Linked DNA regions of Callithrix jacchus. The protein of the gene in region 1 interacts with the protein of each later gene in a biochemical or structural test. Links are inferred from orthologs where the notes say so. Each region holds a gene or a part of one and is shown in the gene's direction. Other genes may lie near its edges.

Evidence for each region.
Region 2: the proteins of RHNO1 (region 1) and HUS1 form a complex in vitro, tested with the Homo sapiens proteins (2 studies listed by BioGRID). The link is inferred for Callithrix jacchus from reciprocal best matches to the Homo sapiens genes RHNO1 and HUS1.

The regions. Positions count from the first base shown.
Region 1 is NC_133510.1:16,196,606-16,203,079, forward strand, and holds the start of RHNO1 (RAD9, HUS1, RAD1-interacting nuclear orphan protein 1), read left to right. Parts: upstream 1-2,134; 5' UTR 2,135-2,226; intron 2,227-2,449; 5' UTR 2,450-2,601; intron 2,602-6,474. UniProt on the Homo sapiens protein: Involved in microhomology-mediated end-joining (MMEJ) DNA repair by promoting recruitment of polymerase theta (POLQ) to DNA damage sites during mitosis.
Region 2 is NC_133512.1:15,519,632-15,526,230, reverse strand, and holds the start of HUS1 (checkpoint protein HUS1), read left to right. Parts: upstream 1-2,467; 5' UTR 2,468-2,507; coding exon 2,508-2,559; exon of another isoform or gene 2,560-2,606; intron 2,607-2,917; exon of another isoform or gene 2,918-3,058; intron 3,059-3,182; coding exon 3,183-3,310; intron 3,311-3,408; coding exon 3,409-3,585; intron 3,586-5,512; coding exon 5,513-5,620; intron 5,621-6,599. UniProt on the Homo sapiens protein: Component of the 9-1-1 cell-cycle checkpoint response complex that plays a major role in DNA repair. The 9-1-1 complex is recruited to DNA lesion upon damage by the RAD17-replication factor C (RFC) clamp loader complex.

The DNA.
Region 1 (6,474 bases):
TTACAGGTGTGAGCCACTGTACCCAGCCTTTATTTTTTTTTGAGATGGAGTCTCGCTCAGTTGCCAAGGCTGGAGTGCAGGGATTACATCTCGGCTCACTGCAACCTCCGTCTCCCAGGTTCAAGCGATTCTCCTGCCTCAGCCTGAGTAGCTGGGATTACAGGTGCCCACCACCACGTCCAGCTAATTTTTGTATTTTTAGTAGAGACAGTGTTTCACCACGTTGGCCAGGCTGGTCTAGAACTCCTGACCTCAGGCGATCTACCCACCTCAGCCTCGCAAAGAGCTGAGACTACAGGTGTGAGCCACCACACCCAGCCTGATTTTTAAAATTTTTTTGAGATGTTGTTTTGCTCTTGTTGCCCAGGCTGAAGAGCAATGGTGCGATCTTGGCTCACTGCAACCTCCACCTTCCTGGGTTCAAGTGATTCTCCTGCCTCAACCTCCACCTTCCTGGGTTCAAGTGATTCTCCTGCCTCAACCTCCCAAGTAGCTGGGATTACAGGTGTGCACCACCATACCTGGCTAATTTTGTATTTTTAGTAGAGATGGGGTTTCACCATGTTGGTCAGGCTGGTCTCAAACTCCTGACCTCAAACTTCTGCCCATCTCAGCCTCCCAAAGTGCTGGCATTACAGGTGTGAGCCACCGTGTCTGGCCCTTTGCTGATTTTAATAGATATATGGAATATTCTACTATTAAGTAAACTTGTATAATTCTATTTCATGGAACTATGGGAGACAGAGGAATTGGCTGTTTCTCTCTCTCTTTTTTTTTTTTTTGAGACAGAGTTTTGCTGTGTTGCCAGGCACCAGGCTGGAGTACAGTGGTGCGATCTTGCTCACTGCAACCTCCACCTCATGGGTTCAAGCAATTCTTCTGCCTCAGCCTCCCGAGCAGCTGGGACCACAGGCGTGCGCCACCATGCCCAGCTAATTTTTGTATATTTTTAGTAGAGATGGGGGTTTCACCATGTTGTCCAGGATGGGCTCCATCTCCTGACCTTGTGATCTGCCTGCCTCGGCTTCCCAAAGTGCTGGGATTACAGGCCTGAACCACCGCGCCAGGCCTTGGCTGTCTCATTTTTAGGACACTTGTCTCCCTGAAAAGCAACTGCACTTTCTTGACATTTGCCATCTGCATAGAGTTCACAGGCCCTCCACACTTCTACCTTCAAATCTGTTTCACCTTCACCTCATATCTTTCCAGGCCTCCCTCTCTCCCTGCATCAATCAGTAGATACTGTTATTTTTCCACAGGATATCTAAGTCTTAAGTTTCTCTTCTAATTCCTGACCAACCTCTTAGTATTATTGCCGACACTTTCTTGCCCGGGAAACTTCCAGAGTGGCTCCTCTGACCCATCCCCATCCCAAGCGGGGAAATCTTGCTACATTCTCAAGAACCAGGAGAAGGGTGGTGGCCAAAGGGTAAGATGGAGGCAGTGTTGCCTAGTGGTGAGACAGCCTGGGAGCAGGGGAGTGTGTACGTATGTTGGTCTTTGACTCAATATAGTACAAGCTCAGTCTTCATCGCAGCCACAGTCGGCCTAAGGAAGAAAGTAGGTCACCCCAGCCCTCCCGAGGCTGTGGGCAGGGTGCAGAGGTCAGACTTCAGGGAAGTCCATGGGGCGCTTTAAGTAGTGAGAATGCCAAGGCCAGGAGGTTGGATGCAGAAAAAATTTGCACCCTGGCTCAGACCTTCTCCCCGTATGGCCCAAACCTCCACTGGTGGCCCGTGCCCTGCTGCTAGACGCCCTGACCTCCGCACCCGGAGGCCTTGCTCCCCGCCTGTGCCTAGGCCAGGCCTGGGACTCCATTCCTGCATCCCGCTCACCTCCAGACTGCAGTCGCCGCCGCCGTTGGGCCGTGGCTCCGAAGGCGGGCTCCGGGCTCCTCCAACCTGGGGGCCGAGCCCGGACCCCGGACGGGGACTCGCGCCGGACCGGCCGGGTCCCCGGCGGTGCGGGCGGGGTGGGAACCCCGGGGGATCCCGGGAAGGGAGGGGGTCCCTGGCCGGGGCCGGGGGTGGGGTCTGGCACCGGAGCTTTCAGTTTGTTCCGCTGTTTGAAACTGGCGCCGGCGGAGCGTTAAGGTCACGTGACGGAACGTCGCCAATCGGCGCCGGCTTGTCTCGGCATTCGGGGCTCGAACGCGGCGCGGTGTGACAGGAGCGGCGGCCCTGGCCGGCCCGGGCTGGTAAGGCGGCCCGCTGGCCTGTTCGTGGGGTAAGAGGTGGCCGTGAGGTCAGGGAGGGGCCGGAGGGGTCTCCGCGGCGTGGGTGGGCGAGCAGAGGGACAGTTTGGGGACGCGCGGAAGCGGCGTGACAGGCCCGGCTCCCTGGGCCCGCTTCCCTGCCGCCCTAGCCAAGTCAGGCGACACGCCCCTGTCTCCCCTCGAACTGCTCTGCTCCCCTTTTCAAAGGTCGGCTTTACTTGATTTCCTTCCCAGGGGAAATCGTACCCAGTTTTCCTACAGCGAACGATTATTTGCTCCCCGCGATTAGCCCGAGGGTTCTTTGAGGGCTGCGTGTGATCTCAGCTTTCTTCCATCTTGGAAAAAATGTCGGCACCTTGAGCCCTACGTGCGCGCGAAATCTTAAGGTACTGACCTGTCTTTGCCCCTCCCAAAGCTAAGCCTTCGGATACAATAGACTGTAGTGCTTTATTTATTTACTTAGCCTGTCTAGTTGAACAACTACTATGTGCCAGGCACCGCTAGGCCCTGAGGGTACAATGGCAGACAAGGTTCTTAACTTCCCTTGGACTCACAGCCCAATCCTGGGAGAGGGGCTCAGACGTTTTTAAGTAATCAAATAAACAAATGTGGGCTGGGTACGGTGGCTCACGCCTGTAACCCTAGCACTTTAGGAGGCCGAGGCAGGTGGATGGATTGAGGTCACGAGTTCAAGACCAGCCTGGCCAACATGGTGAAACCGCTTCTCTACTAAAAATTAGCCGGGTGTGGTGGTGCGTGCCTGTAGTCCCAGCTACTCTGGAGGCTGAGGTGGGAGGATGACCTGAGCCGGAGAGGTGGAGGCTATGGTAAACTGTTACACCACTGCACTTCAACCTGGACGGAGGGAGTGACAGAGGGAGACACCATCTCCAAAACAAACAAACACACAATAGTGGAATTACTGCTGTCAAGTGAAACAGTAGAGCTTAATGATACTTTGAGTATTTACAATAAGGAGATCTTGAGAGGTAGGACAGGAAAGGCTTTTCCCGTGAGAGCTTGGTGTGTGAGATCTGGTACCTTTTACAAAAAAAGGAGGGAACCTCCATAAGCAGAGGGAATCAGGTGTGCAAAGGCGGCATGGCAGGAGTAAGCACGGTGAGGAATATCTGAGGGGTTTGAGCTAATCAGCCTGAGTGGAGTGTGGTGTGAGTTGAAGCTGGAGGCAGAGGAAGCAGGCCTTCGCCATACTGAGAAGTTTTATGCTTATCCAAGAATAAAGGAAATCAATCATAAGCTTGAAGCAGAAGTGAACTGAGGTCAGATTTGCATTTTAAAAGGTCCCTCTACAGCAGGGGTTGCTAGAGTGGATTAGGGCAGACCAGTTGGATATTGCAATACTCCAGGCAGGAACTGCTTGAGCTTGAAAAAGGTTGTCAGGGAGAGAGGAAGAAAAGGAAGGAAACAGAGAGTGAAAAAGGGGCATTATGAAAGGTGTTTAAAAGGTAAAGTTGACAGGGCTTGATGGTGGGTTGGATGGGAGGTGGGAAGATAGAAGTGTCAAGATATTTGGCTGCATAATTGAAAGAATAATGACACCATTCCCTGATCAAGAGCCCTGGAAGATAATCACTTTGGCCAAGGGGTGGCGGTGAGGTTGTCAGGGAATGACTGTGAATTCAGTTTTTGTTTTTTACTACAAAGCAATGCTCAGAATGAGTTCAGTTGTTTTTTTGGTTTTGTTTGAGACGGAGTCTCGCTCTGTTGCCAGACTGGAGTGCAGTGGTGAGATCTAGGCTCACAGCCACCTCTGCCTCCTGGGTTCAAGAGATTCTCTTGTCTCAGCCTCCCAAGTAGCTGGGATTACAGGCACGTGCCACCACACCTAGCTAATTTTTGTATTTTCAGTAGAGATGGGTTTCACCATGTTGGCCAGGATGGTCTCGATCTCCTGACCTCGTGATCCGCCTGGCTCGGACTCCCAAAGTGCTGGGATTACACGCCTGAGCCACTGCGCCCGGCGGAGTTCAGTTTTTAAAAAAAATTTTATATATTTATTTTTATTTATCTTTTTATTTTTTAGAGACAGGGTCTTGCTCTGTCCCCCAGGCTGAAGTCCAGTGGCATGACCTTGGCTTACTACAGCCTCAGCCTCCTGGGCTTAGGTGATCCTCCCACCTCAGTCTCCTGAATGGCTGGGATTACAGGCACATGCCACTATGCCCAGCTAATTTTTGTATTTTTTGTAGAGACAAGGTCTCACTCTTGCCCAGATTGATCTTGAACTCTTGGGCTCAAGGGATCCTCCCACCTTCACCTCCTAAAATGCTAGCATTACAGGTGTAATGCCAGCCAATGCAACCGGCCAAGTTCAATTTTAAACTTGTTGAATTTTTTTTTCTTTTCTTTTTTTGAAGCCAGTTTCTGGCTCTGTCGTCCAGGCTGGAGTGCAGTGGTGCGATCTCGGCTCACTGCAACCTTCGCCTCCTGGGCTCAAGTGATCTGCCAACCCCAGCCTCCTGAGTAGCTAGGATTACAGATGCCCACCACCAAGCGCACCTAATTTATTGTATTTTTTGTAGAGTTCTGGTTTCGCTATGTTGCCCAGTCTGGTCTCAAACTCATGAGCTCAAGCAATCGCCTGCCCTGGCCTCTGAAAGTGCTGGGATTACAGGCGTGAGCCACTGCGCTCAGCCTTAAACATGTTGAATTTGAGGTGCATTTGAAATATCTAGTTGATGTTCAGGTAGGTAGTGGGACTGAACTTAAGGAATTCTAAAATGAGTATATAAATATTGAAGTCATCTACTTATAGGTGGTTACGGAAATACAGGTAGATGAGTTTGCCTAAGAAAAGTATATAGAGTGAGAATAGCTCCGAAGCACAACCAGAGGGGAAGGACTTAGATACCAGAATGAACTGACCTCTAGTTAGAGCAGAAAGAAGATAGATGCTGATATGCATAGGTTTGTGTGTTTGCTTTCTGTAAAATCCGAGTATTTCCTTTGATGTCTTCTGCATTCGTTGTCAAGTCTGAAGTAAAATCATTTGTTAACAGAAAAGGGGTGTTCTGACATTCTAAGAAAGTGGGCAGGGTATGGTGATTCACACCTGTAATTCTAGCACTTTGGGAGGCTGAGGCAGGAGAATCACTTGAGCCCAGGAGTTCAAGACCAGCCTGGACAACACAGCAAGACCCCATCACTAAAAAAAATAAAATAAAATAAGAAACCAGCCAGGTGTGGTGGTGCTTGTCTATAGTCCCAGCTCTGCAGGAGCCTAAGGCAAGAGGATCTCTTGAACCCAGGAGTTTGAGACTGCAGTGAGTTATGATCATGTCACTGGACTCCAGTCTGGGCAACAGAGCAGGAACTCACCTCTAACAGTAATTTAAAAAATTAAAATAAAAATTTTCAGCCTGGACGTGGTGGCTCAGGCCTGTAATCCCAGCATTTTCAGAGGCTAAGGTTGGCAGATCACCTGAGGTCAGGAGTTCAAGACCAGCCTGGCCAACATGGCGAAACCCCATCTCTACTAAAAAATATAACAATTAGCTGGGCATGGTGATGGGTACTTGTAATCCCAGCTACTCAGGAGACTGAGGCAGGAGAATTACTTGAACCTGGGAAGCAGAGGTTACAGTGAGCCTAGATTGCACAACTGCACTCCAGCCTGGGCAACAGAGTGAGACTTCATTTCAAAACTAACAAACAAAAATTTCCACTTTTTTTTTCGAGATAGGGTCTGTCTGTCACCTAGGCTAGAGTGTAGTGGCATGATCATAGCTCACTGCATCTTCAGACTCCTAGGCTCAAGTGATCCTCCCACCTCAGCCTCCCAAATAGCTGGGACGACAGGTGTGTCCCACCATGTCCAACTAATTATTCTTTTAAATTTTTAGTCAAGACGAGGTGTCACTATGTTGCCCAGGCTGGTCTTGAACTCTTGGCCTCAAGCAGTCCTCCCACCTCAGCCTCCTAAAGTTCTGGGATTATAGGCATGAGCTACTGTACATAACTTGGAGAAATTTTAACATAATCTTTGTGGAGAATGAGTTGATCAAGGAAACAGGATTGCTGAGCAATGTACCCATTTGAAGCTGATGACTTTCAGCAAGTCATGAATTTCAACGCCATAGCCATTGCTACCACTGTCATCTTTCCGCTGGATTTCTATGGTAGCTTTTTGTTTGTTTTCCAGACGAAATCTCACTCTGTTGCCCAGGCTGGAGTGCAGTGGTGCTTGGCTCTCTGCAACCTCCACCTCCCAGGTTCAAGCAATTGTCCTGTCTCAGCCT
Region 2 (6,599 bases), on another chromosome or scaffold:
ACAGGGCTGCAAATTGTTGCCTCTTCCCCTAGGGACTAGAGAAGATGAGGAAGTACCTGAAAGACACTGGCCAAGTGCTTACCTAGATAGAGTTGACCATCTGCAGCTGTAGAGAGGTTATTTTCCTTACTTCCAACTATACATCCTGACTGACATTTTATTTGCATCACTGTGTAATTCAGTTTCTAAGACAAGATTAAGGCATTTACCTCCCCAGTAAACAAACTTAATGAACAGCGTCAACACCGTTTCCCAGATCATTGTGTGGCTAAGTAACTAACCCCTGAGGTTTGGCCGTTCTTAAATCAGAAGGCTATTTTCTATAGCTCGACAAGAACATGAATACACATTGCGTTAGAAAACTCAGTGGTACATGGGGCTTCTAGAAATCTCTAGAGATCACATTCCTTCTCCCAAAATCATTTGGAAAGTAGAGAAGTAGTGTCAATATATTTAATTGTCAATTCTGGAGTTACTGAATTAATTTGCTAAACCTATTTAAGAATCTTACAAGAACACATAAAATATTTCTTTCTTCTTCCAAGAAAAGATAACTGCAACTTTATTTTCTATTTCTTGAATCAAATTCCTATATTATTTGGGTGTTTGTCAATGCAGAATGTATAGAATCACATCTTCTTAGGAAGTTTGACAAAATAAAGCAATTTCCAGGAAAGATCAAGCTGTTACAAAATACTATTTACAAAGTTTATTTAAATATATTCTTTAATTATATTCATTTATCTATCGGCAGCCACCTTACTTAATGTGATGCTCAATTCTTCAAAATACATTTATGAAGAAATTTTAAAAACATGCTTTTTTCCTGCAGATCATACGGCGCAAATAAAAAATGTTGGCACAACTTTATTATTTATTTACTTGTTGAGACTGGGTCTCGGTTTGTTGCCTAGGCTGGAGCACAGTGGCTGATCTCAGCTCACTGAAATCTCTGCCTCCCAGGTTCAAGCAATTCTCCTGCCTCAGACTCCTGAGTAGCTGGGATTACAAGTGTCTGCTACCATGTCTGGCTAATTTTTGTATTTTTTAGTAGAGATGGGGTTTCACCATGTTGGCCAGGCTGTTTAGGCATCTTGTCTCAAACTCCTTAACTCAGGTGATCCACCCAACTCTGCCTCCCAGAATGAGATTGTAGGAGTGAGCCACTGTGCCTGGCCTATTGGCATAACTTTGAAATTGATATATGAAGTTTGGTTTGACAAACACTCGCATGTGACAATGAAGAGTAGAATTTAGCTTCATGTTATGGTCTTAAGATAGGCAAAAACTGCAAATTTTGTATTTTGCACTTTAAAAATAATCTAGGCCTGGCACATTGGCTCTCGCCTTGTAATCCCAGCACTTTGGGAGGCTGAGGCGGTTGGACCACCTGAGGTCAGGAGTTGGAGACCAGCCTGGCCAACCTGGTGAAACCCCATCTCTACTAATAATACAAAAATTAGCCCGGCGTGGTGGCACATGCTTGTAATCCCAGCTACTTGGGAGGCCGAAGCAGGAGAATCACTTGAACCCAGAGGCAGAGGTTGCAGTAAGCCAAGATCAAGCCGTTGCACTCCAGACTGGGGGACTGAGTGAGACTCTATCTCAATAATAATAATAATAATAATAATAATCTCCTTTATAATTATCTTGATTTTATATGTCAAGTTAAAGACAAGGTTCTAGGCTCCTATTTGCAAAGGGCATTAAAAATAACAATTATTAACATAAATGATCTTCAGGCTTTGAAAAAGCAAATTAGATACAGTGTTGCTTGCTGCATTACCCCCTTTAAAATTTATTTCCTTAAAAAAAATCCTACTGACGTTACTTATGCTAATAAGAATTTTATTGGAGGTAGTAAAGTTCGTCTTGAGACAAACTGCAGAATTATCACTTAACGTCAGTGTTCTTTAAGCATCTTGCCTTTACCAACTAGCCAGTAATATGTTCCATTTTTTTAAAAAGTCATTTAAAACGATTTTCAGAACCTTAACCAAGATGCTTCAATACCGAAGTACCGGTACCGTCATCTGAGATTGGAGAGTTTAAAGCTGCTCTACCTTAGAGAGACATATTTAAGAGATAGTATTGTTTAACCTTTATAGACGATTAATTTTATTTGGATATTTTAGAATAGAACTTGAAATAGGTGTCACAAAATTCTTTCAAAACGTGAATTCTCAGAACCCGTCCCCACATCAGGAGCTTGAAGCCTCTGCCTCACAAAAAGCAGATCCCACCATCACCCCGGAGCAAGGAGGCAAACCCAGTAACTGGGACCCCACCTCCCCCAGGGCGTGACCCGAGATCCTTGACCTGTGACCCCACCTCCAGTGGGGCGTGACCCGTGGCCCCACCTTCCCCGGGGCGTGGCCCGGAGGCTACTCTGCTAAGAGCCGCGTAGCCCTAGTCGGGCGGAACCACTGTGCGCGCCGCCCTGTTTCCGGGCGGGGACGCTCAGGGTGAGACACTTATCCGCTACCCATAGACCCTGCCGCGCAGCAATGAAGTTTCGGGGCAAGATAGTGGACGGGGCCTGTCTGAACCACTTCACACGTGAGCAAGGAGGCCCGAGGGGAGCGAGGGAGGAACGGAAAAAGGCAGTGAGCGCGCGGTGGGGACCGCGGGGGAGGATCAGAGCGGGGATGGGCGCAGGAAGGGGCCGCTGGAGGATGGGGTCCGGGATGGGGGTGCTTATGGAAGCCGCGGGAGGGCGCGGGGTGGGCCGTAGGGACTTGTAGGGATGAAGGCAGCTTTCAAGAGACGTTTCTGAAACTTGATTCTGATCACGTGGCTTTTTAAAAAAGCGGCCACTGCTCCCCTAGACGGCTTTATCAGGCTTTGACATTCCTTGAAGGCTCCATTCGTCCCTCCCCCCTGACAGTGCCTAACTTTGCATTCAACTCTGTTGCAGTATCCAGTAGTCAGTAAGTTTATGTTGAATGAATGAATGACTGGTAGGACACTGAAGATGTGTGCTGTACGTCTCCCTGGGTTTGTTGGGAGAATTGCATGACATCAGAGGTATTAAAGTACTTTCCAGTGTGATACAAACGTAAGTCGTTATGTTTTTCACCGGGAAGTTGCACCATGATGAACAAGAAATTGTGCAAAATAAGTTGGTGTCTAGGATACATGATGTGCATTTTAGTAATTCCTTATTTTAACTCCTGCTTTAGGAATCAGTAACATGATAGCCAAGCTTGCCAAAACCTGTACCCTCCGCATCAGCCCTGACAAGCTTAACTTCATCCTTTGTGACAAGCTGGCTAATGGAGGGGTGAGCATGTGGTGTGAGCTGGAACAGGTGAGCAAAAGCTTCTGAGAGGCCTGCACACGCTACAGATTGTCATTGGAAAGACCACAAATGCCCTCCCTCATCCCCCATTTTTTTTTTTCCTTTAGGAGAACTTCTTCAGCGAATTTCAAATGGAGGGTTTCTCTGCAGAAAACAACGAGATTTATTTAGAGCTAACATCGGAAAACTTATCACGAGCCTTGAAAACTGCCCAGAATGCCAGAGCCTTGAAAATCAAACTGACTAATAAACACTTTCCCTGCCTCACAGTCTCCGTGGAGCTGGTGAGTAGGAGAGTCAGGGTTTCTGAAATTTCCCACGGAAATCTTGGCCTCGAAGGAATAGATGTAGTTAGCCTAGCCTTTATAACAATAAATATTGTTGAAAACTATTTGGCTTATTTAAATTTAAAGATCTGGTCCATAACTATATTTTGCATTAGAGTCAGTTCCTCCTCATTTTATAGTGTTGTGATCATATGCATTCAGCTAGAATGCTGCCTTTTACAAGTCATAAAACTTCCAGCCTCTTTATTTCTTGTAGTGGTGTTGTCACCTTGTCTAGAAATCATGATTTCAATCGATTTTCGTCTTTGGCATGTTTTCTCTTCACTCCCACCCTGCCTTTAATGGGCCCTCATTCTTCAGTACACCTGTGTTTTGTATGCTCCTGCCAGATGAATTGAGTGCACAGCTGTCCCCCAAACACACAAATACACAAACTCATGTGTACACATACAACACAGAGTTGCTCTTCCTACTCACAGGATGAAGTTCGTATTTCTGTTTTGATTTGTTTTGTTTTGTTTTTGAGATGGAGTTTTGCTCTTTCGCCCAGGCTGGTGTGAAGTGGTGCGATCTCAGCTCACTGCAATCTCCATCCCCCAGGTTCAAGCAATTCTCCTGCCTCAGCTTCCTGTGTGGTTGGTATCATAGGTGCCCGCCACCATGCCTGGCTAATTTTTTGTGTTTTTAGTAGAGACAGCGTTTTGCCATGTTGGCCAGGCTCATCTCAAACTCCTGACCTGAGGTGATCCACCCACCTTGGTCTCCCAAAGTGCTAGGATTACAGGCATAAGCCACGCGCCTGGCCTGAAGTTCATGTTTCTTAACATGACCAAAGCCCTTCACATATGGCCCAATCCATCTTAGGGACCAAATTATAAACTGTGATCCCCTGAGTGCTTTCCCTAGATGTGTCTCATTCTTTCTGAACTCCCAGGCTTTGGTGATATTGGGCTTCCACTTGCAGTTTATTTCCTTCTCACTCTGAAACCTTCTCTTCATTTAGTGCTCGTCGCCAATGCTGCCCTTGCCCCAGTCTTCTGTTCTCTTACAGCTCTCCTTATATATTGTATTCAGTTGGTGCAATGGTAATTGTGGTTTTTGCCATTATATATACTTTATCCATCTATGGGTGAGTATTATATTTAGTTTCAAGCTTTCCGTGGAAAAGGATTCCTCAGCTTTTCTTCATAAGTCTCAACTTTTTGCAATCAGGCAGTTCTTAGAGCTAATTAGGGTATTTCATGTCACGATATAAGTTTGGTATGTTTTTCTATTGCTTAAGGAAAAGCAAGATAGTAACATGTAATACTTTTCTATCTAAAAGTGCAAAATCTTTTGGTCTGTGACTCTCATAGTCGCCCCTAGAAATAGAAAAATACAGTTTGCATTTTAACTGTTTAGAAACTGCAACACACTGAGTGTCCTATGCCCAAAGAATGGCCTTCTCAGTTGCCTCAACATAGCAGGCTTGCTTCTTTCTGCCTCACGGCTTTCCATATGCTATTTCCCCAGCCTGAAACACTGTCCCCTTGTTCCTGTCTTCCCGTGGATGCTACTCCTCCCGGCTTTGGTGGTATCTGGAATGTCGCCTCCCCAGTCTAAGGAAGCCCCCCACACTCACCCTGGTCACCGTGCTGTGCTGTCTCATGGCTCTAATGAGCGTTTGATATAATTTCAATCGTTTGCCTTTTTATTGATCTGTTTGTTCCACTGGAACACTGGGGACCTTTTTGTCTCATTCACCACACTTCCCGGTTCCTGAAAGTACCCTGAGTACGTGTCATAAATACTGGTCGAATGGCTTTTGAGTGAATAAATTGACAACATTCCACTTAGGTTTGTCGTTTCAACTTTTTTATCCTCGGGTCTTTGGGTTTGTTTTGTTGTTAATATTAACATAAAAGATTAATTCTTTTCTTGGCAGTTTTCTATGTCAAGCAGTACCCGCATTGCGACACATGACATCCCCATAAAGGTTATTCCTAGGAAATTGTGGAAGGACTTACAAGAACCGATGGTCCCAGATCCCGATGTAAGTGATGCAGTCCTGTTGTACACCCCACATTACATGGCATGACTAGAATTCTCTGATTTTAGTTGTAGTCTTGCAGTATATTTTATTTTTAAAGGATACATAAGGAAAACATTAGAATATTTGCCTTTCGATATTTACATAAAGCATCTTAGGACATGTTGCATATGACAGAAATGCCATGCTGTCCTATATGTGGAAAATGTCTCACTCAGTAACATCACTTAAACAAAACAAAACTGAAATGATCTGTTGGCGGACAATTAGTATTTGTTAGTATTCTTGGCCTTCAGCACCAATATGGGTTTCGCAGGACTTGATCTTTTCCTCAGCCTGTCAGAAGCAGCATCTGGATGTGCACAAAAGCCAAGGAGAGAGGAGTTTCATGGCTTAGGTTTTGGGTTAACAGTCATGCTGATGGTTAACCCTAGAGCCCCTGAAAGTAAAGATGATGCCAAAGGACCCCTTGCCTCTTGCTCACAATTTACTTAAGAAATTACAAAATTATGCTGGGTAAAATAATTACTTGACTTTTACTCGAAGGGATCTATGCTGATTTTGAAAAAGCCCGTGTTTTATAGAGCACACTTGCTAACAGACTCGAGTATGATTGGGTGACTGCTTGCCGTATTTTTGCACAGAGCATGGAAAAGGCCCCTGAATCCTAGGTGTAAATGTCCCTTAGAGGAAGGCCTCCTGCTGTGTGCCTGAGTTTTCTTCCCCCTAGACCAATACAGGAGCATCTCAGCCGAAGTACCCTATTCCTTCTTGAACCAGAAGAATGCCCACAGGGACATGGTTGCTGAGGGAACCAGAGTCAGGCATTCCATTCTTTGATTTTGCTTGAGCATCCATGAGATAGTGAAATAGAATTGATTTTCTTCTTATATTTTTAAAAGAACTTTATTTCAGAAAATTTTAAAATAGTACTCTGTAGTTTTTGAGCATGCATGTGTTCCAGAGTTAGTTATGGAACACT